7 linked regions of the Ovis aries genome follow. The protein of the gene in region 3 interacts with the protein of the main gene of each other region in a pairwise test. Links are inferred from orthologs where the notes say so. Each region holds a gene or a part of one and is shown on either strand. Other genes may lie near its edges. The genes, in order: SH2D4A, P4HA3, NUTM1, ZNF277, SAMD4A, RIC8A and MORN4.

What was found.
Region 1: the proteins of NUTM1 (region 3) and SH2D4A interact in binary tests that used the Homo sapiens proteins (3 or more experiments, as listed by UniProt). The two-hybrid records come from large-scale screens. The link is inferred for Ovis aries from reciprocal best matches to the Homo sapiens genes NUTM1 and SH2D4A.
Region 2: the proteins of NUTM1 (region 3) and P4HA3 interact in binary tests that used the Homo sapiens proteins (3 or more experiments, as listed by UniProt). The two-hybrid records come from large-scale screens. The link is inferred for Ovis aries from reciprocal best matches to the Homo sapiens genes NUTM1 and P4HA3.
Region 4: the proteins of NUTM1 (region 3) and ZNF277 interact in a two-hybrid assay, tested with the Homo sapiens proteins (2 studies listed by BioGRID). The two-hybrid records come from large-scale screens. The link is inferred for Ovis aries from reciprocal best matches to the Homo sapiens genes NUTM1 and ZNF277.
Region 5: the proteins of NUTM1 (region 3) and SAMD4A interact in binary tests that used the Homo sapiens proteins (3 or more experiments, as listed by UniProt). The two-hybrid records come from large-scale screens. The link is inferred for Ovis aries from reciprocal best matches to the Homo sapiens genes NUTM1 and SAMD4A.
Region 6: the proteins of NUTM1 (region 3) and RIC8A interact in binary tests that used the Homo sapiens proteins (3 or more experiments, as listed by UniProt). The link is inferred for Ovis aries from reciprocal best matches to the Homo sapiens genes NUTM1 and RIC8A.
Region 7: the proteins of NUTM1 (region 3) and MORN4 interact in binary tests that used the Homo sapiens proteins (3 or more experiments, as listed by UniProt). The two-hybrid records come from large-scale screens. The link is inferred for Ovis aries from reciprocal best matches to the Homo sapiens genes NUTM1 and MORN4.

The regions. Positions count from the first base shown.
Region 1 is NC_056079.1:37,631,114-37,634,925, forward strand, and holds part of SH2D4A (SH2 domain-containing protein 4A), read right to left. Parts: intron 812-3,812; 5' UTR 617-811; coding exon 436-616; intron 1-435. UniProt on the Homo sapiens protein: Inhibits estrogen-induced cell proliferation by competing with PLCG for binding to ESR1, blocking the effect of estrogen on PLCG and repressing estrogen-induced proliferation. May play a role in T-cell development and function.
Region 2 is NC_056068.1:52,347,883-52,350,816, reverse strand, and holds the end of P4HA3 (prolyl 4-hydroxylase subunit alpha-3), read left to right. Parts: intron 1-681; coding exon 682-778; intron 779-1,770; coding exon 1,771-1,841; coding exon of another isoform or gene 1,842-1,899; 3' UTR 1,900-2,386; downstream 2,387-2,934. UniProt on the Homo sapiens protein: Catalyzes the post-translational formation of 4-hydroxyproline in -Xaa-Pro-Gly- sequences in collagens and other proteins.
Region 3 is NC_056060.1:26,484,847-26,489,206, forward strand, and holds the start of NUTM1 (NUT family member 1), read right to left. Parts: upstream 2,979-4,360; 5' UTR 2,441-2,978; intron 2,357-2,440; 5' UTR 2,295-2,356; intron 1,392-2,294; 5' UTR 1,350-1,391; coding exon 1,211-1,349; intron 1-1,210. Other genes in the region: NOP10 (H/ACA ribonucleoprotein complex subunit 3), read left to right, coding at 3,066-3,119, 3,693-3,833. UniProt on the Homo sapiens protein: Plays a role in the regulation of proliferation. Regulates TERT expression by modulating SP1 binding to TERT promoter binding sites.
Region 4 is NC_056057.1:57,731,775-57,736,363, forward strand, and holds the start of ZNF277 (zinc finger protein 277), read right to left. Parts: upstream 2,944-4,589; 5' UTR 2,881-2,943; coding exon 2,790-2,880; intron 1-2,789. Other genes in the region: DOCK4 (dedicator of cytokinesis protein 4), read left to right, coding at 3,480-3,516. UniProt on the Homo sapiens protein: Probable transcription factor. Involved in modulation of cellular senescence; represses transcription of the tumor suppressor gene INK4A/ARF, perhaps acting via the Polycomb group (PcG) complex PRC1.
Region 5 is NC_056060.1:65,150,439-65,155,050, reverse strand, and holds the start of SAMD4A (protein Smaug homolog 1), read right to left. Parts: upstream 2,907-4,612; 5' UTR 2,705-2,906; intron 1,840-2,704; exon of another isoform or gene 1,624-1,839; intron 1,488-1,623; 5' UTR 1,049-1,487; coding exon 853-1,048; exon of another isoform or gene 1-852. UniProt on the Homo sapiens protein: Acts as a translational repressor of SRE-containing messengers.
Region 6 is NC_056074.1:47,475,255-47,479,512, forward strand, and holds the start of RIC8A (synembryn-A), read right to left. Parts: upstream 2,826-4,258; 5' UTR 2,759-2,825; coding exon 2,675-2,758; intron 2,382-2,674; coding exon 2,334-2,381; intron 2,249-2,333; coding exon 1,658-2,248; intron 1,177-1,657; coding exon 1,085-1,176; intron 615-1,084; coding exon 464-614; intron 1-463.
Region 7 is NC_056075.1:18,633,712-18,638,026, forward strand, and holds the start of MORN4 (MORN repeat-containing protein 4), read right to left. Parts: upstream 3,074-4,315; 5' UTR 2,920-3,073; intron 613-2,919; exon of another isoform or gene 481-612; intron 1-480. UniProt on the Homo sapiens protein: Plays a role in promoting axonal degeneration following neuronal injury by toxic insult or trauma.

The sequences.
Region 1 (3,812 bases), on a different chromosome or scaffold from region 3:
GGACAGAGGAACCTGGCGGGCTACGGTCCATGGGGTCGCAAATTGTACACGACTGAGCAACTAAGCCCAGCAGAGCAGAATACCAGGCATCTGGGATAAGAGGAGGTGGACCCGAACATGCCCCTCGAGTTCAGCTCCACGTGACTTTTTACTGCAGCTTAAGGTCAGTCCGGTTTCAAGAAAGACATCTGCTCTCAGCCTCACCACTCCAGAGTATTGCTGCTTGTGTGTGTGTGTGTGTGTGTGTGTGTGTGCGCGCGCACGCACGCGCGTGCTTCAGGCTAATCAACTGCACCATGAAAAGCTCAGTAACACTGAGGGTCTGCCTGCCAAACCAGACCTCAGACGCGGCTAGCTGCTGACCAGTGTGAGCCATGCAAACAAGCAGGGAGGCCGCCCGCCGCGGAGGCTCCGGGAGGAGTGAGCTCCGCTTACCTGTCTTCGGCCTGGGTTTCACTGGCAGGGACTCCTGTTTTTCCATCGCTGCTTCTCTTTCTTTCCAGCGGCGGACCTGCTCCTCCCTCATCTTGAAGAACAGGATCTGTTTCTGTTCCTCGTTTAGCTCTGCCAGCAGATCAGGATCTATGTACATCTCCGACAGGATCTGTTTCAGCATCTTTGCGGGGCTGGAGTCTTTTGCACCTGAGGCAAAAGTTCTTGAGAACGGCTTCCAGGGCTGCCTCCCCTGGGCTGGCACGGGGGGGCACCCACAGACCTTCCCAGACGCTCGTGGGGCTGGGACGGCGGCAGTTCAGCGAACTGGCTCTGGGTTCCCACACCGGGCCCCCTGTCCAAAACGCCACTCATGAACCTGCAAAGAGCAACCGCCAAGATGCAACTGTGTTAGAAGGTACAAAGGCCAGGACGGGCTTAGGAGCAAGCTTGGCAGAAACACAGATCCGCCTTTATTTCAGGCAAGCTTTGTTAAGAGTTTTGTGTAACCTGTATCCTGTAATTTCCAAAGATACTTTAACAAAAAAACAAAAAAATAAACCCTAACTTTTTACCGGTCACTCTCAGGGAAACAAAAAATTAACAGAGGCTTGGCTGTCTCCCAACTAAGCAAACATGCGATTACTTCCGAGCTCAACAAACCACCACGTCCACAGCTAAAAACAGTTAAAGAGACAAAGGCAAGGATGAAATTAAAAGCCTCTCTCCAAACAACGTACTTCAAAAGCAAACACTGTTTTTGAGATTTCAGAGAATTACCCACCCAAACCCAAGCCAGGCTTAAGGAAGAAATAAAGAAGAAATAAAAATTAGACCATAATGCAATTTTCCCATTTTCCCTTACAAGTGGCTGTTAATACAAACAATTATGCGCTGTCATCTTCACAGATGGACAGTTCGGTGTTCAGACAACTCACCAGAACCACAGAAACCGTGCAGAGCAGGACAGGGCACTCACATGCATTTTGGAAGGGCACCAGGGTTTAGGCGTGCCTCTTCCAGATACCCTAATTTCACAGGGTCTAAATTTACAGACCAGATAAACTGGGGAGCCATGAAATTAAGAGACACTTGCTCCTTAGAAGAAAAGCTATGCCCAAGCTAGACAGCATATTAAAGAGCAGAGACATTACTTTGCCAACAAAGGTCCGTCTAGTCAAGGCTATGGTTTTTCCAGTGGTCATGTATGGATTTGAGAGTTGGGCTGTGAAAAAAGCTGAGCACCAAAGAATTGACGCTTTTGAACTGCGGTGTCGGAGAAGACTCTTGAGAGTCCCTTGGACTGCAAGGAGATCCAACAAGTCCATCCTAAAGGAGATCAGTCCTGGGTGTTCACTGGAAGAACTGATGCTGAAGCTGAAACTCCAATACTTTGGCCATCTGATATGAATAACTGACTTCTTGAAAAAGACCCTGATGCTGGGAAAGATTGAAGGCAGGAGGAGAAGGGGATGACAGAGGATGAGATGGTTGGATGGCATCACCGACTGGACAGACATGAGTTTGGGTAAACTCTGGGAGCTGGTGATGGACAGGGAGGCCTGGCGTGCTGCGGTCCATGGGGTCGCAAAGGTCAAACACGACTGAGCAACTGAACTGAACTGAACTGAAGGGGTGACCAGGCTCATCACAAAGGGTCCTCGCTCTGTAAGACAGTTTCTCAGATGGAGGAGCCTTGGGCCTGAGCACACAGGTGACTTCACAGGGGCACCTACTCCTCAGCAGACGTGTTCTACTTCACACGTTTCCATTTGGTCTATTTTCAAAAAATATAGCAAACCTTCACATTTTTGTCATTAGGAGAAAATGATGTACACATTTCCATTCTGGGGGGAAAAACAGAATGCTTATTTTGTTCCAATATAATAAGAAATCCACAAAAAGCTTATTTATTTCAACTCTGCAGGATCACCTATGTTCTAAGAAACAGACTAACAATCCTACCATCTGGCCACGCCCTCTCAAATATCTTCTTTCTCCAAACTAACTTCAAAGGCTCTTAAGCTTCAGACCAGTCGCTCAGCCACACGGCGGCCCTCCCAGGCCCATGGCCAGTCACCCCCGGCCCTTCTCCTGGTCACCTCCAGGCAGGCTGCCACACTCCTCTCACGCCCGGGAGGCTCCTGCAGCTTCGTTCCTGCTCCACCTCCTTGCGCAGCTGTTTCTCCATTTACACCAGCTTTTTCAGAGAAGCACAAGCAACAGCCCAACAGCCAGGGTACCCAGGGTGCCCTGAGTACCAACAACATGTAGTTCCGTTCACTAACATGCCCTGTGTAGCAGGGACCTTTACTGAGGCTACCACGACCCTCGCCATCTGCGTCCTGCCATCTGTAGCATTCAGTTACCCGGGGCTCAAATGGAACACAGTGTTTAGAGAAATTTTTAAAAGAATTAAAGGCACCGTCCGACTCTAACTCAGTCAGGCACGCCTGCCCCAGGCTGCCTGGCTAGCTTTGTATTTTGCTTTGAGGCGACCCTCAAAGGCTCTAACAGCCACACCACTGATGTCCTGCGATGCGGTCCTGACTCTGCGGTCTCCAGGAGAGGGGCACAACTAAATCTACACTTGACGGGGGTTTCCAGAGGCTGAGCTCTTGTCTGTAGGCGTCAGAACAGCAGGAAGAAGGTAAGTCCTCCACTCACTGGACTCCAGTGCTGGAGACCAAGTGCTAAGAAGCCAAAGTGAATGAGTCCTTGACATTCCGAAGGAACACACCTCAACATAATAAAAGCTATAGATGACATTCCGGTAAAGGTCCTTACGCCGGGACACTTCTTGACCAGGGGTTGACTTTCACAGAAATAAAACACAGGGGAGAGGAGCTGCCCAGGGAAGTTGGAAGCTTCCGCTCTATCCCCCAGTCTGGAATTGGGCGACTCCCAGCAACAGGGACAGGGCAGGCAGCACCTAAACAGGAAAACCCTGAAAGGGCTGAATCCGCTCTCCCCTCCCCACCTGGCGCACTCCTGGTCTCAGACGCTGACCCCAGCCGCAGCCACGACCGACCATGAGCGGTGAAGGCAGTAACTAACGAATCTTCATCCCAACCTTGGAGTTCAGCCCCTTACCATCCCCATTTCCTACAAGACGATGGAGGGGGTGTGCCCGGCCGTCTGGCTCCAAGTCAGGGGCACGGAGTTTTCCGGGAGCCCAGAATCAGGCTTCCCTGGTAGCTCAACTGGTAAAGACCCCTCCTGCAATGCACGAGACCCTGGTTCGATTCTTGTGTCGGGAAGATCCCCTGAAAAAGGGACAGGCTACCCACTCCAGTATTCTTGGGCTTCCTTTTTGGCTCAGCTGGTAAAGACTTCACCTGCAACGCGGGATACCTGGGTTTGATCCCTGAGTTGGAAAG
Region 2 (2,934 bases), on a different chromosome or scaffold from region 3:
TGCCGGGTGTTTAGCAAAATTCAGCGGTTTGGCCAGGGATAAAGTAAGTGTATAGGAGAGAAATCTGAGTATAAGAGGTAGAAAGAATAGAAGATTTGGAGTCAGAACACTTGGGTTTGAGTTCTGACATTGATCCTCCTTAGTTACATTATTTAAAGCCCCTAAGCCTCAACTTCCTTTCTGCTAAGGTGGAAATGACAATGATGCCTGCTTCCTGGGGGTGTTATTAGGAAGTGCCTAAGAAAGGCTAAGCATCAGAATGAAGTTCTTAGTTGTGTGAGGAATATTTTGCTCCCCCTTGTGCTTTTTGTTGAGTGCCTGGCCTCAGTGATCCCGTGACACCCTGTGCTCCCCTTTCCCCTGACACCTGTCAGTCTCCTCCTGGTTTGTTTTTATGTCTCTCTCCCACGAGACTATGAGCTCCCTGAGAGCAGAATTGATCATGATTTGTCTCTGCATCCACAGGGTCTGGAGAAGGGCAGGGCCCTGTCAGTAAGGCATCAGTGAATGAGTCAATGGCAACTTGTCTACCATTTTGTGCCATTTTATGTATTCCTTGCCCCCATCTGCATGGACGGTTTTCTTGGTTAATGACATGTATGCATTTGTCCTCAGTCAGGTGCTTCCCTAGCACTGAGACTCTGGGCTGACCTTGCCTGGGGCGGGGTCTGCTTCTTTCAGAATGCAGCTCTATTTTGGTGGAACCTGCACAGGAGTGGTGAAGGGGATGGTGACACACTTCATGCTGCCTGCCCTGTCCTGGTAGGAGATAAATGGGGTAAGGCCTGCCTTTCTGGGCATGGGAAAGGGGTGAGGGGTTCAGGGGAAAGTGAAATCGGGGTTGGATAGAACATAACATAGCCTGTCATTCCAAAAGCTTCGTAACAGGGACTTCCCTGGTGGCCCAGTGGTTAAAACTCTGAGCTTCCATTGCAGGGGCCCTGGATTTGATCCCTGGTCTGGGAACTAAGATCCCACATACTGTGTGGCAAAAAGAAATAAAGAAGAAAATTTCTTGAACTGAATAAAAATGAAAAAACAACAAATTAACTTTAAAAAAATTAAATGGAAAATAGCAAAATTAGGGGAAAAAAAGCTTCATAGCAATGTCACATTATACTGAGGTGATCAGATTCTGGGCTAGTGGCCACCAGTACCTTAGGAACCCATAAAGGGGAGGCTTCTGTCCTATAGCCAGTGTCAGTAAAAGTTGACTGGCCTGACCAGACAGGCCTGATTCCTCAGGACAGCTAAAGAAGAATCAGTGCAAAGTCCCACTCCTCTGTTCCAAGGAGAAAACCATCAGGTGCTTTCCCATAAGGAGAGGTCAAAGAAAGATAAGTAAGGGACACACGCACATCATACATGTGTCCACGAGAACTTAGCTCTTAAGACAGAAACAGTAGAAGAGGGACTCTTGTGCTGAGGTGGACCTGACCAGGGAGGGTCCATGCCTTTTCTCTCACTACCCTGAAATGGTACCCTGTGGGAGGAGGGGCTTTCAGGAGCTACATGAAGGGGAAATGACCACAGTACCCATGGGTTTGAAAATTAAGTCTCTAGTAGATAGGACCTGTGGGGATTTTTTCCAGGGACCACTGCCCTTCTTGCTCTTTATTGCTACTGGAAGCAACATCTTGTAGTCTGTGACAGGCCTGGGACCAAGGTGAGGCAAGCGAGTCCCCAGGGGTATGGAATTTCATGGCCCTGTGAGTATCGCCTCTGTCTGATCTGCTGAGCCTGCTCCTCTGCCTCCCCGTTCTCCCTCAGTGGCCAACAAGTGGATACACGAGTACGGACAGGAATTCCGCAGACCCTGCAGCTCAAGACCTGAAGACTAAAGTGTTGGCAGAGAGGAGCTGGAGGAGGCCTTCGGCTTTCCAAAGAAGCCGGAAGTAAAAAGCTAGGGTAAGAGAGTAGAAAGGGGAGCAAGCTTCTGGAGGAGGCCCTTGTCAGCACTGTCTGTTCCTTGCAAATGGGAGACAAGGAAGTGGTCTCTAGCAGGGACATTGTTTCTCCTCAAGCCATGACTCACAGCAGAATGACCAAGACAAAGGAGGGGGCCCGAAGGCTGGAGAGAGAAGTTTCTGGAGCTCAGACTCTCTTTTGGAAACAGGGCCTATCAACAGTCTCCAGGGTTTGGTCGGTGGGGCCTTCGCCACTTGAGCCTTGACCACAGGGGCCCAGAGTGGCAGTGAGGCCCCTGCAGCCGACGCCTGACTCCCACGTGCCCTTCTGCCCACTGACTCCTGCTGAAGGCTGAGCAGGGGGTGTCTCTGTATCAGGAGTGTACCTCATGTGATGACTTTTTCATAGCAGACAGTAACTTTTTTAAAAAATATGATTTTTAAATACAGCCATTAAAATGTTTTAATAGTCATAAAAAGTGTTTACAGATCATTTTTCACAACCATGAACATTCTTATGTTCTGAAAACAGCAGAGCAGAATGTTTTATTTATGTATAATCTCATCTTGGCTCATCTCCCACCACTCCCCACTCAGTGCATTCCAGATGCATTCTATTTCTTAAAACCGACATTGGTCCCACTCTTCAGGTCTTTGCACTCACTGCTGCCACCGGGGCTGAGCCCTCCTCATCATTCCACTCTTGAATCAGTGTCGCTTCAGAGAGAACTTCTTTGACACCCATCCTTCTAGCCATTTTGTTCACATAGGCCAACTTTATTTTCTTCCTAACACTTTTCTCAAAGTTACTTTATTCATTTAATTGTGGTCAGTTGCCTGCTCTGCATGGTGAGTGCTTTAAGATCCCTCTCTGCTTTGTAAATGCCTCACTCCATTTTTCAGTATTTGTTTATTTGCCTAGCTGCTTGCACTCCTTATACCTCTTGGTATACCCCCCAGAAAAAGGTCTGTTTCAAATAAGTAGGCATTCAGCAAATATTTTTGGATAAATGAGTAAGAAGGCCTC
Region 3 (4,360 bases):
GACTAGAGGTAAGAGCCAGGAAGTGGGTAAAGGGAGGGCGGTGTGGGGAGGGAGGTTTCCAGAGCTTCAAGTAGATGCTAGACATACTATAATGTTTATCTGTGATCCTTCTGCTTGAAACTCCTAATGCCAGAAATTTAGGGTCCACTTTTGAAAGGCCCTGACCATGAAGTCTGAGACACAGTTCAGGGGCTATGTGGACTCTAGTCAAAGAGACCAAGGATAAATATATTAAAACGTGTACTTAATCAGGACATGTGTCTCCTAGGACTTTCAATAATAACAGATCATCTGCCTAATTTCAGGTTGCTCTCCTCCCCCTCTTAGATTATTCTGCTGGCAAATTAACAACGTTCAGCTTCTGCTGCTTCCTGACCACTGAAGGAGACAGGGAATACGAGCAGACTCTTCACCTCAGGCACAGAGCAGAGGACCAGGAATACTCCCTGAAGAACGGAACACAGTGAAATGGGTCTGAGGCCTGAGTTGCGCAAAAGGCAGAAAGTCAGAGCGTCTCAGGGAAGCCCCAGTCCTCATCTCTGCTAGAGTGACCCACCTCCCCTGACCCTGGGAAAGCAAGGAAAACTGCTCCCTGCACGAAAAGAGAAGCCCTCGCTGGGGCTGGAAGGAGACAGGAGGCTCTGAGCAGAGGCACTTACTGCACCTCCTCATCTAGCTTCTAGGAGGACAGTTCTCGACGGACTTGGCAACAGATGGCCCCACTGAACAGTTTTCCAGACAAGGCTTCCACTCCCTACACCCAGTAAAATTGAGAGCGGCCCTAGATCAGTTCTCTCAGGGCAAATTCTAGAGCAGCCTCCAATTGCCTAAAGAAGACACCAGAACTTGGGCCTTCCACTGGAACCCCCCTGTGTCCCCCATTCCACACACATCCCTGCCCCTGCCACACAAACACATGCTGAAGGTCACCCTCTTCCAGAGAAGCAAGTTGCTAACTACCATCCCTTCTCTCTACTCAGCACTTTCCTCAGAGGTGCTCTGATCTGCCACCTAGGAGGCCCCCTTCCTTCCCCAACCCCTAGTATTAACAGCACCATCTCCTCCCCCAGTGTGATGCCTCTGGTGGTGTCTGGTGTTCTCACATCCCTCTAGGTCAGCCCTGAGAGCTCGTCCCCAGGTAAAGTGTCAAGTTTTGAATCGCTAAAGAGGGAGCTGGTGGCAGAGGACCCTCCCCTACCGGCAGGCTCACCTCCATCTGAAGACATCGTCTCAGGTTTGGGCACTAACTGTGGCTGTCTGGAAGCCTCCAGAATGAGACAGGCAGGTCCAGGACCCAGAGAGTAAACTCCAGTCGAAACACAGGGATCCAAGGAAGGGAGGGTAAACATCAGATCAAAACAGAACTAGAATCTAGAACTCAAGGCATCATTCTACAGTGGGGGGAAGGGAGGGGGAAATGGGAAGTTAGGGAGATATTCCACAAAGGACTCTGGTATGTAGGCAGTAACCAGGAATGCCCTCCAAACCAGAGTATGGCGACACAATTGTGTATCTCTTCAGGACAACTTGCCAATTATTTCTCAGATTCCCAACCACGTAGTTTCACATCTTGGTTCCCTATACACTTCTTCACCAATATATCTAGTTTTGTGCCTTTCAATTCTACCCAGTTTTGTACCTGACTTCCTATTAACAGCAGACTGTGGCAAACTCTTGACAATTCAATGTTTGCTGTATTTTCTAAACCAAAATCAAAGCACATAGTCTATATATTTACGGATCAAGTGAACAGAATGTTTCAAATTAGGGTTGTCTCACAATATCAAGGGTGCTGATTTGCTGTATGTATATCATTTCCTTAGAAAGCTGTTTTGCAGTTCCCAAATAGACTATTACCATCACCTCTGCAGTCCACAAACAGCTCAGCCATACCCTGGGCTGAAAAGCTTCCCACTTAATCAAAAACTGCCACTCAGAGTAAAATTCCAAGACCCAAAAGTCTTTTTTGTTTGTTTGTTAAATTATTTTTGTGGTTTTAAATTTTGTTAAATAATTTTAATTTTTAAAATGGGTAGTACATCAGGACTGTTCAAAAGTCAGACTATTTAAAATGGAGTACACAGCAAGTCCACCCCCCGTCCTACTCCTTCTGGAACCAAGTTGAGCTCTTTATGCCGGAGGAAATCAGATTTATTCTGGATCCTCACTGAGATATTTTATACAACTACAAGCAAACACAAACTATACTTAAAAAAAAAAAAACCAACTTTAAGGTTTTTCTGGTTATAAAGCTGCATATATCTTCCAACGTTTTTCGCCATTATAAATCATACCGCAATGGTCACCTCGGTTAATGATATCTGGGTTCCAATTTTCATTTCTTTAAACCAGAATCCTATAAAGAGAATTTGTACGTTCTTTTAAAAATTCGCCATACCTCTAAGAGGCGCATCTTATCACGCTATTATTAGCTACTCACCACTACAGAGAGTTGAATTTGTGGCAGAGACCTGAGTTTGAATCTTGGGTCGACCACTAAAATATGCTTCACCGGTTTCGTAAAATAACTTCACGCTCTTTTCGCTGTGCAGAATATGGAATACCCATCGTGCATTTTTACCGCCAATGTTTGAAACAGGGCGAGAGAACCGGATGTAAAATAGGGGAAGGAAGAAAATCTTCTTTCTTTCCTAAGGTAAAGGAGGCTCTGGATCCTGGAGCCTTTAGTTCTGCAGGTACTAGAAACTCATTGCCTCTGAAATGGGTGTGCATCTTGAAATAAAAACAGGATAGTATTCAGTTATGTTTAATCTATATCCATCCCTACTCCCCTCTCTCCCTAGCAGTACCAGGCCCACAGTGGGCACACTGCACGTGTCGTACAACTCCTACAAGATTGCAACTGGGTTGCAACTGGTCACGTTCTGAGCTAGTGCGCCTCCTTCTGTCCGGCTGGAGAAAAGTCTAGATAAACTGGACTACAATTCCCGGCGTGCTTTCAGAGCGAGACTTCCGGCTGTACAGGAAGGAAATTGACCAACACGTGAGGCCTTCAGTTAGAGGCAGCTGCGGACAGAATTGGAACGTCCTGCTTTAGTGTGATCATGTTTCTCCAGTATTACCTCAACGAGCAAGGAGAGCGAGTCTACACGCTGAAGGTGAGAAGGGTAAACGGGCTGGATGTCAGCTTAGCGATGCATGTCATTGGAAGGAGCGGTCGGGAGAAGACAGTGAGTTGCCTAGCTGCTTGGGCGGGGGCGGGGGAGGGGGCGGGACTAGAAACTCCAGAAGCCGCGCGTGGTATTAATTAATGGAAGCAGAAATGCGTGGCTTCTAGATCTTACCGTCGCGTCTCCTGTTTTCATGTTTGCCGTTTTTGCGCGGCCCCTGATGTTGAAGCTCAAACTCCAATGCGTTGGCCACCTGATGCGAAGAGCTGACTCATTTGAAAAGAGCCTGATGCTGGGAAAGATTGAGGGCGGGAGGAGAAGGGGAAGACAGGATGAGATGGTTCATCACCGACTCCATGGACATGGGTTTGGGTAAACTCCGGCAGTTGGTGATGGACAGGGAGGCCTGGCGTACTGCGGTTCATGGGGTCGCAAAAAGTCGGACACGACTGAGCGACTGAACTGAACTCCCCATCCCAGCCTCCATCTCCCTTTTGAGGCCAGGGATTGCGTTTTCCCACCATTCCAGTGCTGAGATTATGTTCTTTCCTCCTCGAGCAGAAGCTTGATCCTATGGGACAACAGACGTGCTCGGCCCACCCTGCTCGATTCTCCCCAGACGACAAATACTCTCGACACCGAATCACCATCAAGAAACGCTTCAAGGTGCTCATGACCCAGCAGCCGCGCCCCGTCCTCTGAGGATGTCTTAACATTTCATGTGTCTTCTGCTGCCTGCCAGCACCCAAGAGACTTTCTGCAGCCAGGCTCTTCAGTCTGTGAGCCTGGAAGCTTGCTCCGACCCTTGCCCCTCGAGTCCGGTCTCATCTTTGCCTTCGATCATGCTTGTTGTGAAGCAGTCATGGTAGCATCCCCGTCCAAGGGAGATATCTGAATATTTTCGTACTTTGAATCACTGCCAGGTTATTAAAATGATTTCAAAGAGCTGTTATTTTGTATGTTGTGGGAAGAAAGGAGTGGTTTAAAAAAAAAAAAAAAAACGAGGGAAACGAGAGGGAAGAGTACCCCAGGGATACAAGACCACTTGGAAGAGAAACTTAGGCGACTGCTGTAGCAGTCGTGCTGTGCTGTGAGTCATAGCAGGGTGCTAGGGTAGGGGAAGAAAGCTTGAGAAAGACTTGTGCAACTGTTAGCATTAAGTAAGAAATACCCATGTTGTCAGTTAAGTAATTTTTTGTCCCTTGAAATGAAATTTCACTCAAAATGGA
Region 4 (4,589 bases), on a different chromosome or scaffold from region 3:
GAAATCAAAACCATATAGATGCATGTCATACATAAAACTTATTGTAAAGAATACTTACCAAACCCCCAAGAATTGTTACTTTGGGACTGAGACTGTGTGTGGTGCAAGAACTTTTACTTTTTTACCTTACACACCTCTGAATGGTTTGAACTCTTAATGATTAAATGTTTTATAATTTTAAAATGACTAATGTATTTAAAAGTCACACAATGCTTTTGAAAGGCATAGCCAATTTTCTTTTTCATGAGTTACTTGGTGAGATAAATTTACCAATGATTCCACCTTCAAATGTTAAACAAGTAGCCTTTTGGAACTTTGAGAATCTGGAAAATCTTTAGTATGTTACTATAAGATAAGAGTTGACTATGTGGCATATCCCAAAATGAACTGTTTAGGGTATGAATATAACAAAATATTTAAGAATGGAGCTTACTAAAAATTTCTCGAAAGAGGTACTGAAATAATTTCAGAAGTAGGGGTTTCACTGAAGTGGGAAGAAGTAGCACTAACTCTGTGCTAAGACAAAATTTATGACTAAAAGTCAATTTAACCATGAAAGCACAAAGCAAGAAATTAACAACAACAACAAAAAAACAATGACAAGGATAAAGAACCAAATTTAAGCCTCAAACCACATTTGTTATGTTAGGAAGTTAGACATGAGCAACAAGGGAGGCCTGGCTGAAAGGGATGCAAGCTGGAGCTCATAGATATGCTACAAAATAACCAGAGACTTTTCAACTCATGCACATGTGCCCTAGGCACACAGTGAGTGGATACAAAATAAACAAGGGGCTTCTCCGAGTAACCTTAGGCACTTAGGAGCCCAGTAAGGGCTCATGAACATTCTACATCTAATCATAACGGACTGAATTATGAGAAGACAGAAACAACATAGCCTGCTGTTACATAACTTACAATTGTCAATCAGCCTTGAGTATATGCCTATTTGCATTCCCTTTCATTGACTGGTGGTGGGTACAAGTTCTACTTTGCACACACCATAGGCAAAAGGAAGAAACTGGAAGTATGAAAGTGGGCTATCAAACAGGATCAACAGGAAGGAAGAGGAGAGCTCCCTTGGAGTCAGTCTGCTCCCATGTTTTAGGAGTGTCTGTGTAAAAAAAGATCAGTCTGCTTGAGCCAAACTGAACTGTAACTTGTCTGTTATTCTGTACCCTTTCATCTATCACTCTAAGTTTTTGGTGTAACAAGACAAGAAACTAGGAAGAGAAATAAACTGACCTAACAGAAAAAACATCAACAGACTTCCCTGGCAGTCCAGTGGATAAGACTCTGAAGAGGGCAGAGTTTCCACTGCAGGAGACCTAGACTGGGTCCCTGGTCAAGGAACTAAGCCCCTGCAAGCCCCCTGCAAGCTGCATGGTGTGGCCAAACAAAACAGAAATCAAAAGGAAAAAGACAACTAGCTGTGTTAACTTATGTATCAGCCCAAAAAAGAAGGGAGTAAGGTTGGTGATACACAGACTATAAGGATACAACTATGACAAACTAGACAGTGTATTAAAAAGCAGAGACATCACTTTACTGAAAAAGGTCTGTCTGTGGTTTTTCCAGTAGTCATGTATGGATGTGAGAGTTGGACCATAAAGAAGGCGGAGGGTCAAAGAATTGATACTTTCAAACAGAGGTACTGGAGAAGACCCTTGAGAGTCCCTTGGACTGCAAGGAGATCAAACCAGTCAATCCTAAAAGAAATCAACCTAAAATATTCATTGGAAGGACTGATGCTGAAGTTCCAATACTTTGGCCACCTGATGCAAAGAGTTGACCCACTGGAAAAGCCCCTAATGCTGGGAAAGGCCGAGGGCATGAGAAGAAGGGGGCAACAGAGTATGAGATGATTGGATGGCATCAATGACTCAATGGACATGTGTTTGAGCAAACTCAGGGAAACAGTGAAAGACAGGGAAGCCCGGAGTGCTGCAGTCCATGGGGATGCAAAGAGTCGGATAGGACTCATTGATAAATGGATAGATGATAGATGGATAGAACAACAACAAAAGAAAGGGGCTAGGGATTCTAAAGATAACCTCCTCTGCAGCTTTCAAAGTTTTATTTTTGCTCTCTATACTGGGTCAGAAGACAACCTGAAAGTGAAGCAAAGCCAAAGTAGCTGTGATGACTTTCTGTGAAGCCATGACAAGAATTACCATTTCCTTTCCTATTGCTCTAAGGACCCAGAGTTTGGGAAGATCTCCCAGGCTCTCTACATTCAATCCTGGAGAACGCCCGGGGCAGTTGACAGGGGAAGAAGCTGTGAGAGTCATACAGACTTTCCCTTCAGAGGCTGCTCCAGCCAACAACTGAGAAAAATCTGTAGAGTGACCAACCAGTTTGCAAATGGAAATCCGCTCGAACCCAAATAAAACCTATCTCTCGAGGCCAAACCAAGCAAACCGAGGCGAGGGTAGACTACTGGCGAGGAAAGAGGACAGCTAATTCCAGAGTTACACTCACACACGCGCAAACCTTGACCCACGCCCACTCGGCAGCGAAAGTAAAGGTGGGAGCTCCAAACGTAGGACAGAACCCAGGGAACTTCCCTGGCTGCGGATAAGGCCATTTCATCCCATTTTCTCTTCCCTCCTAGACAGTCTCCAGCAAGTAGCCTTCTCCCACCCCCTCCTGTCCCGCGGGGCTCCACCCGTGGCCCCTTCGCGCTCAAGTGGCCTTAGCGCTAAGGTCCGTCCAGCAGTCAGCTGTATTCCAGGTTGGAGAGAAACGAAGACAAAAAACCATTTGCACCTCAGAGGCACCGTACTCACCCTCATAACTGACACCTCTGGCTCCACCACGGTTGCCATCACTGTCCTCCTCCCCTTGGGTAGCAGCCCCCAGGGTCTTGGGAGCAGCCATTACTCGGCTGAGGGGGAAAAAAAAAAAAGAGGGCCGCAGACCAAGCGCGGGACCAATGGAAACGCGATTGGAAACGAATTCCCCACTGACGCGACTTTTCCTCCACGCCCACTCCGCGCCGTCACGATCTGGACCAATAGAACGTGGCGAGCGGGACGTAGTCCCGCCCCTAGCCGCTAACTCCCCACCTCCTTCCGGGATGGAGCTGTTGTAGAACTACAGTTCCCAGCGTGCTGCGGGGCGCTCGGCAGGGAGGGCTAGAAGAGGCGCTGACGGGCGGGGGTGCGCCGGAGAGTGCCCCGGCGTGTTCGCTTAGTTCAGTGAATCAGAACAATGACTGCGCCTCTGGGTTCCCGGGAGCGCGTCGGAGGACTCTGAGCAGCCACAGCCGGCAGAGCTGCGGGCGGCGCAGCCTCGGCCGCGCGGTGTCAACGCTGGGCTCGGGAGCCTCCAGCGCAGACCCTGCCCAGCGACCGCAGCCCGCGCGGAGCCGCGGGGCTCCAGCGCTGCAGCCACTACTCGGAAGCTGTGCATTGTTGTGAGCCGGAGAAGGGGCGCGGGGATTGCAAAGCCTGAAGACCCCGGACCCCTGTTTAGCCATGTGGATACCTACGGAGCACGAGAAATACGGCGTGGGTGAGTCTTCGCGGGGCGAACTTTTATTCTGCTCTGGTCCTAGCCCGACCGAGTGCGAATTTCGCGTCCTTGCCCCCGTGCCCCTCTCGCTCAGCCCGGCTGCAAATGCCTAATTCTGGCATCGCGCTGCGGGTTAGGGGCTTTGCTCAGCCACCTCCTGGCAGAGGGTTGCGCCTCGGGGTCTCGCCCCTCAACGCCGGATGGGAGCTCTCGGCATGGGTTCCCGGAGGGAGTGCCGGGACGGCTGAGGGGAGCGCGCGGCCAGCCCGCTGCTGCGGGCTCTGCCTGCGGAGTTTGGAGTGGCTACCGGGTGTGTGTGTGTCAAGTTGGAAGAGGAGAACGGACGGCTTTCCTCTCCCTCCTTCTCCTTTACCTTAAAGAAAGCAAGGGCTGCAACGACTTCCCAGGGTGGAGAGGGAGACAACAGTAGCGGAGAGAGAACATCCCCAAAACAGAAGGGAGGCGCAGAACCTTCCCTTTGCCTTCCACATTCCCGGAGTGCGGAATGTGGCACCGTCCTCAGAAGAGCCGCTCTGACAGTCCGGCCCGAGCCTTCCTCCTCCCTCCCATCCCGGGTTACCCGGTGTGTGTGTGCGCGCTCGGAGAGGCGGTGGGGCGGGGGTTAGTAAATTTCAACATCTGCGCCGCTCTGCTCTTTGGTCTTTGGAGGGAAACGGGTATTTCAGCAATGTTTTTGCTTCTGACCACCCTCTCTGCTCATGGTGGGGGTGGTGCTGGAGGACAGCTGTGGAGTGTTAATCGGGAGAGAGACTCCGAAAGCTTGGGTCTTCGAGGCAACGAGACAGCTTTTAGGAAAGATTACCCTGATACGGGTGTTAGGAGGAAAAGGAGCAGGGTAGCGCTCGCTGTTCTGTGTAAAGGTGAACAACAAAGGACATTAATATTGACGGATGAATACAGGAGTCTCCCTTCCTTTCCCTCCTCCCATTTCAGGCGGATTACAGTTCCCGTTTTTGTTGTTTGATTTCAGCTGGGTCGCCCCTTGACAGTTACTCCTTTTAGGTTGCGACTATTAAAAAGGAAGGCTCTCTGACAAGCCTGAAGCAGCCAAA
Region 5 (4,612 bases), about 39 Mb from region 3:
CCAACCCCCACCCTCACCCCTTACCCCCAGCCCCGGATATAATTCCAGTCTGTCACCACCCATGCTAGCAAATAGCAAACTGCTGAATATATCTCAGTGTATTCACTTTCTGTACTAGTTGAGGTGTCTGTAAATACACTAGCAGGGTAATAGGAAACAATTCTGTTATGTTCAGTAAAGTTTCCTGACAAAAGCATTAAAGACACTGATTCATGCCTGCTCCCTATGAGACCCTTTCTATAAGATGCGTATCAATATAAATAAAGTCGTGATAGTTAAGTGTAAGCACGTAGTATACGAAATGCAAATATCATTTTAATAGTCTGTAGCGTCACCTACAAATTATTCTGAAAACAGAGCTCTAAAATTGGAATATCGGTGGAGAAAAAAAGAATGTAAAATTGGGTTTCATATATTCCTCATGTAGCCTAGTCAAAGCTCAGCTTCTGAAGGGCAGTCTCAGGCTTCTTCATGTGTTGCTGAAATCCAGAGAGCCACGTTGCCCAAAAGGAGGAAAGAAAAAAAGCCCAGAAAATCCAGACTCTACGTGACCTGACTTAATTATTTCCCAGGAAACTGCATGAGAGAAAAATCAATCATTCATGCTACCGTAGCTACCACACGGAATTAACTGAAGGAGTTGACAGTGAGCAAAAAAACCCGAAGCTGCCAGCGGAGGTAAGTGGGCGGCACGGCCTCGGGGGAGAGATGCCAAGGACCCGGGGGCCGCGGTGGTTCGGTCCCCAAGGACCGGCGATCTGGGGCGGGGCCAGGCCCGAGGCTGGGCAGCGGCGGTTGGGGGTGGGGAGGAGAACCGGGACCGCGGGACGGCGGCGGCGGCCGCGCACTTACCCGGACTGTTGGCCTCGCCTTCGAGGACGTGCAGCTCGGCGCAGTCGGCCAGCGAGTGCTCCAGGCAAAGCTGGAGGAAGCGGGCCTGGGTCTGGCTCACGCGCTTGAGCAGCGACAGCAGCGCAACAGTCTGCTCGCACTCGTTCCAGCCCTTAAACCAGCCCGCCAGCACCCCGACCTGGTCGCGAAACATCATGGTTAGGGGGCGGCCCTCAGTCTACAAAGCCCCCGGGGCGCCCCAGCCCGCCCCGCCCGCCCCAAAGTTTGGCGGAGCCGCAGCCCCGCGGCCGCCGGAGACGCGTTCCCGTTCCAAGGTGGCTCTGCTGCCCGGACGCTGCAGGTACTGCCTCGGCTCCTGCCTCTCTCGTCTGGTTTCAGTTACGTTCTGGTGGTTCTGGCTGATTTCCCCAGAGATGATGACAGACAGTAGCACGGAAATATTTCTTTTTTTAAAAAAATAACGATTAAAAAAAAAATTTTCCCCACAAGGCACACAAACTGAATGAAGAAGGCTCTCTTTCCCCCTCCCCTCTTCTCGCAGCTTCGGGATGGTGATTTCCGGCGTCCCGGGGTCTCTTCCCCGCTGGGCAGCAGCTCGGACCCTTCACACCCGCATTCCCGAGTAGCGATCACCACTGGAAGGAGAGAAAAGGCTGCAGTGAGACCTCGGCCAGCGAGGGAGTGCGCCGGTGAAGCTAGTGCATCTGAGGGGGCGGAGGGGGGCGCGCCGCGGGGTCTTAGTCTCCCAAATTCCGGCCGCCCCCTCCGCACCCGGATGCTGGAGAGGAGCTATTCCCGTTCTGGGAAAGGCAAGAAGCCTCCTTCCCAGGTGCGTGAGGAAGACCGCACGGCTTCCTGTTGCTGCTGCTGCTGCGAACGGCTAGTGCTCCCCACACACCCCGCCCGGGGTGGCCTCGGGGGCTGTGCCTGCAAACGCCCGCACCAGCAACAGATCTTCCTCGCGCAGAAAACTTGCACTGCGGCTGCGAAGGGGCGCGGGGGTGGGGGTGGGGGCTAATGCAAAGCAGAGGCGGAGGCGCGGCAGCCCGAGTTCCTTCCTCCTCCTCCTCTCCCTCCTCCTCCTCCGCCACCTCTTCCTCCTCCTCCTCTCGGAGAAGCAGCCGAACGGCTGCAGCTCCATCTACAGCAACAGCCAGCATCTCCACCGCCAGGCGCCCCTCTGGATTTAGGCCGTGAGCAGCCGCGGCAGCAGCTCGAGACAAAAATAAACTCTCCCCACCCAGAGCTCAGCGCCCAGCGGGCAGAGGCGCAGCCGGAGCCTCGGCTCCCGCGCGCCGCTCGGCTCCAGCCCACCCGGGAGGTCTCTGAGGGTCCGCTTCGCCCTAAGCGTTCAGATGTGTGCGTGTGTGTGCGTGCGCGCGTGTGTGTACTCGTGTGTGTGCTGTAGGCATCCTGCCCCAGCTCCCGCCGCCTACGGGCGGGTCCGGCCGGCCCAGCGCCTGGCCCGCGCGTCCCAGGCCGAAGTCGGCACGGCCACTGGCGCACGCCGAGCGCGGAGACAGTCGGTGCCCACAGCACTGCCCCCCGCGGCAGGCAGGGCGGTTCCGTGGGGACTGCGGCTCCGTGCCGCCGGCACACGCCCCCGAACGACCGCGAAGAAGAAAAGTTCGGTTTCGAGGGCTCCCCCAGTCCTAACCCTGTCCGGGTGGCCGCCAGCGGCGAAGAAGAGAGAGCCCAGCGACTCGGCCAGCCCTCGAGGGGCGGCTCGCTCTCAGCACCCCAGTTTCCCGGTTCCCAGAACTTCTCGAGCGGAGGCGGGGGAAGGCCCCCGGGAAGGGGACCCAGAGACCGCGGGCCCCTCGGCCTGGGGCGTAGGACAGAGTGCGCTCACCTCGGAGCGGCTCATCCCGGCGGCTCGGGGCCCCACGCGCGGGTCCGGGGCGGCTGTGGCTCTCAGCGAGGCTGGGGGCGCCCGGAGGGCGGGCTGCGGGCCATGCCGTCGGGGCGGGCGGCGCGGAGAGAGTGCGGCGCTGCGGGATCGGGCCGCCGCCGCCGCCGCTCCTGCCGCCTCCAGTGTAGGCTCGCGGAGGACTGAGCCGCCCGAGCCGGAGCTCCCCACATGCTACTGATTAACATACACCATTACATCATGGGCTTGGCAGGGAGCGCCCGAGCGGGGGGAGAGGAACCCGGGCGGCGGCGGCGGCGGCACGCGGGGGGAGTCGGGGGAGGATCCCCGGACCCGGCCGGCGGCGGGGGTGGGGGGAGGTGGATTCCTAAGTGGGGACCAGAAAAGGGGAGGGGAGCGGAGAGGGAGGAGCCAGATGGCGCAGAGGGGTCGGGTTGGAGGAACGGCGGGGCGGAGAGGGAAGAAGTTTGGGGAAGGGGAGGGGTCCAAGTGAATTCCGGCCCTCTGCTGCCTGCCTGTTCTGGAGGGGCCAGGGCGCTTAAGCAGCCGGACTGCGGACGGGAGGGGACCCGGAGGGTGCTTGAGCGGGGGCGGTGCTGCCACCGGCTGCTCGTCCTTGGGAATGTGGTGCGCGGACTCCGGTGACCCCTCGGCCCTACTGGGGCCCGAGGGTGGCAGAGACTTAGGGTCAAGGACGCTGCGGGTGTGGACAGGTTCAGGGGTCGCAGAAGCAAAAGGCAGAGGAGGCCGAGGGGTCGTATGCAGGGCTGGAAGTGCCTGGGCACCAGGCTCCGTGCTGCCCATGTCCTCTATGAGCGCGAGAAGTTCCTGGGCTGCTCACCCCTCGCCCGGGTCGGACCTCAGATGTCCTTTGCTCTTGTGGGCGGCCCCGGCCCCTTTGGGGCCTCGCTCTCCCCTGGGGAAGCCGCCCGACTTTGGGGGCCCGCTGGGAAACTATGCCTGGCGCGCTGGCTGCGGCTGCGGCTCGGGCTGCGGGCCTGGAGCGGAGAGGAGCTCCGCCGCGGGGGGCCAGGAGGCGGGCGAGGCCACCTGTCAGCGCGTCTGCGTCGTCGCAGGGCTGGGCAGCCTTCACCTGGCCCTGCAGAGTGCGCGAGGCCTGGGCCGAGGCTTCAGAGGTCCTCGCCGCGCGCGCCAGGGGGTGGGGTGCAATTGTGGGATGGGGGGTGCGGCGCTGAGGCCAGGCAGCACAGGGAGGTCTGGGAAAGTGGCCTCGGCTGGTCTCCAAGGTAGAGAACTGGTTAAAAATACCCTAAAACCTAAAAATCTCGGTGCCTTCTGATATTATTTGAATATGCACAAGAGGACTTGGTGACCAAATCCAGACTATTCCCCATGTTTTAAGTGAAAACACAGAGCCCTCGAACATTTCTCCAGCAACCTGTGGCTTTCTGTATGAGTACTTCTGAGACATTTGTGAAACGCATGCTTCAAATCCAGCCTCTTTACTCTCGCTAATACAGTATTTTTGAAGATAAAGTGTCTGAGATATTATCCACGGATTTAACACTTCCTTCTTTAACTCCAGCATATGTCCCTGGATTTTCAATCATTTCTTCCTTCCTCCCTCAAACCTAGTTTCTGCACCATTTAGTTCCTGTGAGACACGTGACAGGACCTAACCATCTGCTGGGGTATTGAAAGGTCTGTGGAGCTGCAGAAATTTAGGTGTTACCATTAAAATAGGGTATGTGAATAATTTTCTTAAGCTCATTATTAGCCAGCCAGGAAAGGTATCTGCATAATTTAATGAATATTTTACCCCGAAATCAAGAATTCTAGAGTCAATGGTTTAATTTTGTTTTGTCTTGTTATTACAGAGGCAGGAAATCTTGACTTCATTTTCTCCAAAATGTTATTATCATTACTAAG
Region 6 (4,258 bases), on a different chromosome or scaffold from region 3:
CGGGCTCTCAAGGGCCTGTGGGTCCTCCGAGCGAAACCATGGCACAGCTGACGCCCATCTCGAGGGCTGCTCGTGCACAAGGACATTCTGAGTCCAGGGGCACAGAGAGGGATGGGGAGCGTGGTGGCACTTCAAGGGGGTAGGGGTGGGAGGCTTCTCAGGACTCCTCAAGAGGATTCACAAAGATGTCTAAGAAATGAGTCCTTTGCCAGATTCTGAAAGCACTTTGCCCCTCATCCCTCTCTGTGCCCCTGGACTCAGACTGTCCCTGTGCACGAGCAGCCCTCGAGATGAAGCCCACAGACTTCTCAGGGAGGAAGATCCGGCTTGACCATGACGTGGGAGGAACCGCCCGAATCACACTGGGGAGGTGATCTCCCCTCACCAGTGTGGACAGCAAAAACACAGTGACCACAGTAGCTGCAAAAACCTGGGCCAAAGCCACAGCAGTCCCCCTGCCCACCTGATGAAGACGCTTCTCCATGAAGCTGAGGAGGACACGAATCACATCCATGTTCACCCCTAGGAACTCCAAGGAACCTCCGTGTGGCTCCAGGGCGAGGAGAACATCCAGACACTCGACAGGCAAGTTCCCCAGGAGGTTCACTGCGTGGCTGGGGGCAGATGGAAGGGGCACTTGGTGAATACCGACCCCTGCTGCCAGCTGCTGGGGCCGTAAATGCCGTGAACCAGTGTCTGGGGGCCCAAGCAGCAGAACAAGGTACCAGAGGCAAGAGTGCTACTTCCTGTAAATGCCCAACCCACCACGTATCTAGGTTGAGGCACCACAGCTAAAACTGAGAACCGGCCTAGGCATAGGCCACCAAGAAGGAAAGTGAGGAAGCACACCACCCTATCGATACCACAGCGCCCGCTGCCCCTACCCAAGGCCCCCTGGCACCGTCCTGCCTTGGACTCACACCTCCGATCCTAGACCATAAGTGCTGGAGCGCCCCAGAAACACACTTTTGTCTGGTTCCACCCAGAAGGATGAAGACTCTAAGGCTGGGAACCACCACAGCGACCTGTGAGCAAACCACCCCCATTCCTCCCCACCCCCCCGCATGACAGGCACCCCCCTCACCCGTGGAACTCCTCTGTGCGGTCTCCAGCAGCAGCAACCATCACACAGTGCCGCAGAAGGGTCCCCAAGTGCCGGTATAGAGCAGTGTCTTCCTGACCAGACAGACAGGAGTTCCTGTGAGAGCGCGCCCCACTGGCCCCACTGCTGCCAACTGAGAGTCTACCTTCTGGACACCCCTGCAAGACCTCATGCATTAACAACTATGCTTCTCTACTGCACACCCTGGTGCTTGTCCTCTCCCAGGAGACCTCAAGAGAACTCTCGGTTAAGAAAATCAATGGATCCCCTTGGCACACAGCTGCTCTGTGCTTCAGCCCCACTCAGTCTCACCACGAAGAATCTCACAGCCTCCCCTGCACACCACACAGCCCTCCAGCCAGGCTGCAAGAGCCAGTTATGCTCTCCAACTCCCTCAGAAAACTTCCTTGAGACCGGTCCAAGATAGGTGTTCCCTGCTTCTCTCGACTGGCTAAGCACACCTAATCCAGAAATTTGAAGGAACCCAGCAAAGCAGCATGTGCAGGAAATGTCCAAGCTGTTAAACCCCACCCACAGGTTGAGGTCCGCCCTCACCTCATCCACCTCCCTCTTGATGGAGTCGAAGGTGATGTTGAAAAGCACTTTGAGGATCTCCATGGCTCGCTCAGTCTCCTGGGGAGGCAGGAGCTCAGGGTGCCTCTCGCCCTCAGTCATTCCCAACGTCAGCTCCAGCGCCCTGGTCAGCAGGCGCACTCCCTGCAGCTCCTGAAACAGCTGCTGGCGCACGTCGGTGCGGAGTGCAGTTAGCAAGAACAGAAGACGCAAGTCAAAGAACTGGACGTCGTGCGGGAAGCTACTCCGGCTGTGCAGTCCGACGCGCTCTGCGAGCCTCACCACTAGCCCCGCCTCTGCTGCCAGGACCTGTGCCCCGGGGCTGCTTAGCACGAGGTTGCACAGGCACTTAAGGGACTCGAGTACGACATCCACGTTCAGCGGCTCAGGGACCGACCCTTGGGAGGCGGAGATGCCAGCATAGCAGGCAAGAGCCTGCAGGCTCCGGCGACTGGTGAAGGAGTCCAGGCAGCTGCGGTCCCTGGACAAGATGCGGATGCTCTGCAGCCAGATAACGCGGCGGGAGGGTGGCAGGCCCTGCTCCAGGACCGAGACAAGCAGCTTCGCCAGTCTCTGCGGGCAGGGAGAAGAGCCGTTCCACCAGGCCCTTCTACCTGGGCCACCCAATCACGCCCCTCCACCTCCGGTGAGCACCCACCTTCCTATCCTCCTGTTGCGCATCATCAAACGTGAAACTCTGGGAGTTCTGCAAAGAAACCCAGAGGCTAGAAGGCACAGGCCTACCGCGTCAGAACCCGGGTTCCGCGGATGGGGGCCTGAGGCCGAAGGCACCTCTATGAACAAATGGCGCCCCAGCCCCACACACCGGCACCCTCGCAACTCCTCAGAGAGTCGGTGCTCCTCCCCATCGCTCTCCCTTCCACCCTCAGCCCCTTGCCACGCTCACCGCTCTCGCCGCCCCTCCAGCCGGCCACGCGCGCGGGCCCCACCCGGCCCCACCTCCTCTCTGCACGTCCCAAGTCTACAACTCCCGCTCACCTCCCGGTTGTACGCGCGCAAAGCTTCCATAACCACGTCCTCCTCCCCCGTCTCCAAGGCATCCGCAACTGCACGGGGCTCCATGGCACCTCCAGGACCCGATGCCAGGAAGGCCGGAGGCTCCCGGCTTCGCGATTCCGGGCAAGCGTCTGCCCGCCCCGCCCAGGCTCGGCGCGCGGGGGAGGCCGGGACGGGGCGTGCGCGGCGCCGTGGGGCGGGGCCTGGGTTGCGCGCAGGGGAGGCCGGGACCGGGCGGGCGCCGAGCTCTCTGGGTTGCGTGGAGCCTTAAAGGGGCGGGGCCTGGGCTGCGCGCGTGGGAGGCCGGGACGGGGCGTGCGCGGCGCCGTGGGGCGGGGCCTGGGTTGCGCGCAGGGGAGGCCGGGACCCGGCGGGCGCAGAGCTCTCTGGTCTGTGTGGCGCCTTAAAGGGGCGAGGCCTGGAACAGCTGGATAGAACTTGAAGACTTTGCTGCCGAGTCAGCTTTGGCCTTAAACTCCGGCTCGGTGATCGTCCGACTTATGGGCCAGAATCGCCCTGAACCGAGCAGTGAGCCTCACTCCTTGGGCTAGGATTCCTGACAGGAGAGGGCCTCAGCCCCGCACCCCTCCATCACACGCACACCAACACCGCTCTTGATGCACAGAACGAATGAAACGTCCAGGGAAAAGTCGAGGTGGAAAGGAGTTTACAACCTCCGGACCACTTGGTTTCTAAACAGATGTTTGAGTGCCTACTGCACGCGAGGAGCCGGGATGCGGGTGAATAGAACCCACAGGTTCCTGCCTTCTTGGCGCTTATGTGCCGGATGTGAAGACTAAAACGGGCAAACAAGACGACGTTAGGCAGCTATAGTGCTGTGATTGAATAACAAAAGGGGCTTGATGGGCTGCAAGGAGATCTGAAGAAGTGCCAGTCAGTTTTTGCTGAGACCGGAGCCTAGGGAGTGAGCCAGGAAAGGCTCCGAAGGAAGGTTCTGCAAGGCAGGAGTGGCCAGTGCGAGGGTGGGAATGGCCGTGGAGGGAGAGAGAAACATCACTGTTGGAGCTGAGAGAAAAGAGAGACGGGGTCGGGGTGGGGGGAAGGTCAGGAGGAAGACAAAGTCTGACTGTGTGCGGTGACTTCCCTGCTGTGTAAGCAGGCACACCTGCTCGTCTGCTTGGGCTGTTTCCTTTTTTGAAAAGCAGAGACGATACAAGTTTCCATTTCAGTGGATTGTCGAGTACATGGCACAGCAATTGCTCCATTACGGGGGGTGGGTAACTTATAACCCATCCACCGGGCAAGAAGGCTTTGTTAAGCATCTACTTTGTCAGGCCCCTTGTCAGCACCGCGTGCAAGGTCAAAAAGCGCTGGCTCCTCCCGTACCCACTCCCCTCACGCTCCCACCCCTCTTCCTGGTTCCTTGTTTTCTTCAGAGGGCTTCACTCCTGCGACTTCTGCACCGCTCGCTCGTTCCAGGCACTGATCTCGTTTGTCCTGCCGGCAGTAACTGGAACCGGGCTTCCCATCGAGTTCGCTCCGGGCCTCAACCCCGGCGGGGTCGCGGCGAGGAGCCTCTTTGGCCCGGGAAAGGCCCGTGTGCTC
Region 7 (4,315 bases), on a different chromosome or scaffold from region 3:
AATCATTATTTCCACAGGAAGATGATGTTAAGGACATTCCCTTCAAATGTTAAGAAGCAGCTAATTTGTCTTCAAAGTTTTGGAAGGAGTGCACGTTGAGGAATCAGACTGAGGACACAGCAGCTCAGTCTCTTGCATGTTTACTTTTTCTTGTATGAAATTTCCAAACAGTGGCATCCCACCAGTAGAAGGAACCTGAAAGGGAATAATGCTTTTCTAAAACTTGAGGATTATCTAGGGACCAAGTACTAGCCAGCCCTTCCAATTGTAAACCTAGCCACTCTTTCAGTATGTTGTTAGCTTTGGGGCAATATATCCTAAACATTTCAAAGAAGCCAAAGAAATGAAAGATTAGCTTCTCATTACCAAATAGAATGGACTGCATTTTCCGAAGATATTTGCGACCATATTTCCTGTCTTACACGTTCTTTTACAATTTGACCTTGCCACTGTCCCATCAAAAACTTGTGTCTAACTCACCTATGAATCTGGCCAGGCTTGTGATTGCTTCAACCAATAGAAGGTGATGGAAGTGATGATGTGTTCTGAGGTTAGATCATAAAAGGTGATGCAGTGTCCATCTTGCTCACTGGTACACTTGAGCTCTGAGACCTGAGACATCACAGGAGTAGTTTGATTATCCTGAGGCTACCATGCTCAGAGGCTGGGCTACATAGGTCACATGCGCTGGTGCTTTCAGTCAGCAGTCCTCATCTCTGAACCACCCTAGCCTAGGCACCAGGAGTGAGTAAAGGAGCTTTCAGAATGATTCCAGCTCCCAGCTATTGAACCTGCATCTCAGCTGAGGTATCATGGAACAGAGTGAGGTCATTGCCATGATGCCCTCTCCGAATTCCTGACTCACAGGATCTGTGAGCATCATATGGCAGGTTTTAAGCAGCTAATTTTGGGGTAATTTGTTATACAGCAATTGTAACTGAAACATCATCTCTCAACCTAACCCTGCCACTGTCCTTTTCCATTTGTTTTTAATGTAGTATGTCTGCAGGTACTACAAATTCTCATTCCTTTTTGTTTTAGGGTGATAGAGCAAACTTCAATAGTTGCTTGTCAAAATGATGTCAGTTCCCAAGAACACAATCAGAAGTGCTAATTAAAGGAACCAGATGTACACTCCATTCCTCTCAGGCCATGGTTGAACACACTCGAATAGAAACTTCTACATGTGTCCAAATAATTGATATTGTCACTGCCTGAGTGTCAGGGTTTTCATTTATGACTTCTGTAATTAGCCATGCTAATTAATAGCTGTAGAGCTACTGACCCAAAAAGGAACTTTATCAGTAATCATAGTTATTGAGACAAATCTAGTTTAATGAAGTATAGCCAGTGCTAATATAGACTAAAAATAAAACCCAATACTTTAATAAAGGATGCAAATCAGTATTTGTATCAGCTATTCAAAAAATATTTTTAAAGAGAACAGATGGCCTAGGAGTTTAGGCTTCAGATACATATGTGGAATCTAGCCAGAAAGTCAAGATAAGTCATCCTTCTTAACAGATGCCCACCCTTTCTCTCTTGATAGATAGGTTGCAAAGGATCAAACCAAACATTTACCTAAAAGAAAATGACTATTTTTACCCCATAAACCAACACACTGTTAGTCTACACAATACACTATATCCTCACTATCTTTATTTTCTCCTGCCCCAAACATTTCCAAATAGAACTAGAAGACAGGGATGAAAACTTTTGTTTCCATTTCATTTGTCTTTTTATAAAATTTCAGAAATCAAACTGATCAAAAATATTTATGGATCCACAGTAATTAACATATATCCAAATCCAGAGGATTGAAAAAAAAAAAACTAAAAGAAAGCAGATTTTCAGTTTAAGAATATTTTTTGAGGCATCCACTTGAACTATCCACATATATTAATAAGCATCACATGGTTCCCCTAAAGCCACCCTCCCCAGGGTATGACAGTCTTGTCAAAGTTCTTTGAGCTGTAAGGAAAGCAGTTCTTAGGCTTTTAGAATTCCAAAAAGAAGAAAATGAAGGCTTTGATGAACAAAGATCAGGCTTGTAAGAGACCTAGAACAAAAAGTCAAATGTTCTTTTTAAAGTATTTTAAGTGAACTTAAAATAATTTTCTCTTTTAAGTCTGTAAATCTCTTTCACTTTAACAATTCTTCCTTCCACAGGAAAAATAAACAAATGTATCACTATTAGATAAAGGTCTTATTTAGGAAGACTGTGAGACAGTTAAGATTGGAGAAAGTGGAAAGAAAATCCTGACGCCAGAAAGAAGATCAAAACAAAAAACCAGAGGCCTTGGGGCGATGGGGACTGCCAGGATACTATTCTAGTCCATGAGAAAGTAAAATGCCTGGGCTGGGTTCTAATATAGTCGAGTGACTTCCGCTGGTACCTAAGCAGTTTGGAGATGCTAGACGTAGGAATGCCACCATCAGCTAATTTAAGCATCCCCTTTCCCAAGACTCACTGAGTGTATGCGGGACGCCTCTCCACCAAAGTGTGACTGGCGAACCCTGAGCAAACAAAGCCCTAGACCGCAAGAAGGCAACTCTTCTCGTCGACCTCCGCATTTCTTCTCCCACCGGTCCTAGCCTTTCAGCACAGCTCCTTCCCTCCACCCGGGGTCAGCTCTTCCACGCGGGCGGGGTCTTCCGCTCACACAGGTCTGCCATCCGCTCTTCACAAAGCCCCCACCCACCCCTCTCACCATTCCGGGCGCCATGGGTTCCCCTCGGGCCTCAGACCCCGCAGCAGAGACGGAAGCCTGGGTTTTGGGACTCCCGCGGGTGCCACCCCCCCACCTCCCCGCCGATGGAGCCGCGCTCCTCAGCCCCTGTCATTTCGGGCTGGGCTCCCCAGTCCCTTTTGCCCGATCACACTCTCCCGGCCCCCTCCCACCCGTGCTGCCAGTCAACCTGGGCCGGGGCTTCAAGGATGATCGTCTCACCCCGACGCCGGGCTGCACCGGCCCGGACCTCCGTTCCGCCCAGCTCGTCCTTGCCACCTGCCTCTCCGCGGCTACCTCCAGTGCCTGCCCCACTTGACGCCGCCATCCTGGGTAGCCACACTGGGAACAATTCCCGCAGTCCATTGGCTGTTACCTAGGCAACCGGTAGCAACGCCACTCCCCATTGGGCCAGTCCCGGGCTCTGCGCCATCTTTGTGCGGGGCAGTGTCTCAGGCTCCCTGCGCTCAATACCCGAAAGAGGGGTGGGGCTGAACTATAGTCACGTCTCAGCAGCCGGGAGAACTCAGAACTCACCTACCAGGGGTAGCCTAGCTAACTAGCCAAACCAAACCAAACCAAACCAAACCTGAGTCAGAAGTAGCAATGACCACCTACACCAGCGTCTCCTATCCTGCTCAGATCTCCGCAGTTGTCAAAGGCACCCATGAGGAGCTAAAGGACAGGAACCCCAAACTGACTTTTGAGATTGCGACTTTGTAAATTGTAAAGAGCAAGACAGGACAACTGCAGTTTCATAAGTATCCGTCCGCATTGTGATATCAGGGCAATTTTACATTCACTGTATGGATTTGTGTTGTCGTTGTCATTACTCATACCATTTATATTTAAAATATAGTGTCAAGATTGGAACAAATCCTCCCAAATATCATGCACACCAACCGACTTACCCATATTTATTTACTGAACAATGTGAAAGCTGCATGATGCTAGGTTCTGCCAGGTTAGAATAGACATGATCACGGCTCTCATAGGATTTACTGACTCCATGTGGAGAAGAAAAGATTCGTGCAAGTACAAAAATCCAAGACTATTTAATTATTAAGAGAGGGCAAGCACGTGAACAGAGTAAGTAGATTTCTCCTCTGAATTTGGATTTCCTAATCTGTAGAATAGGATGGTAATAGTAATAATGATAAAGTCTCCCCAGAACTTGTACGAAAATACAATATAAAATTCTCTGTACTGTGTCTGACCTTGTAGGAGTCTGACACTGCAAGTGTTCAGTAAACTGTAGATTTAAATGATAGTGGTGATAGTTACACAACATTGTGAATGTATTTACTGTCACTGAATTAGACACTTGTGAACAGTTAAAATGATAAATATTACATATATTTTAACCACAGTAAAAAAAATATGGTTTCTTGATCATAGTGGTGACACAGTCAAACCAGTGTTTTAAGAAAATTAATCTGTCACTGACACCAAAGATGATCAGAGAGAGAGTGAAAGCAGAGGAACACACTCAGAACCTCTTGACAGTTGTGGGGCGCCGGACTGAGCATCCAGTGCAATACAGCAGTTAACTGCTGGCCATCTGTTTTGCTGCAGTCCATGGGGTC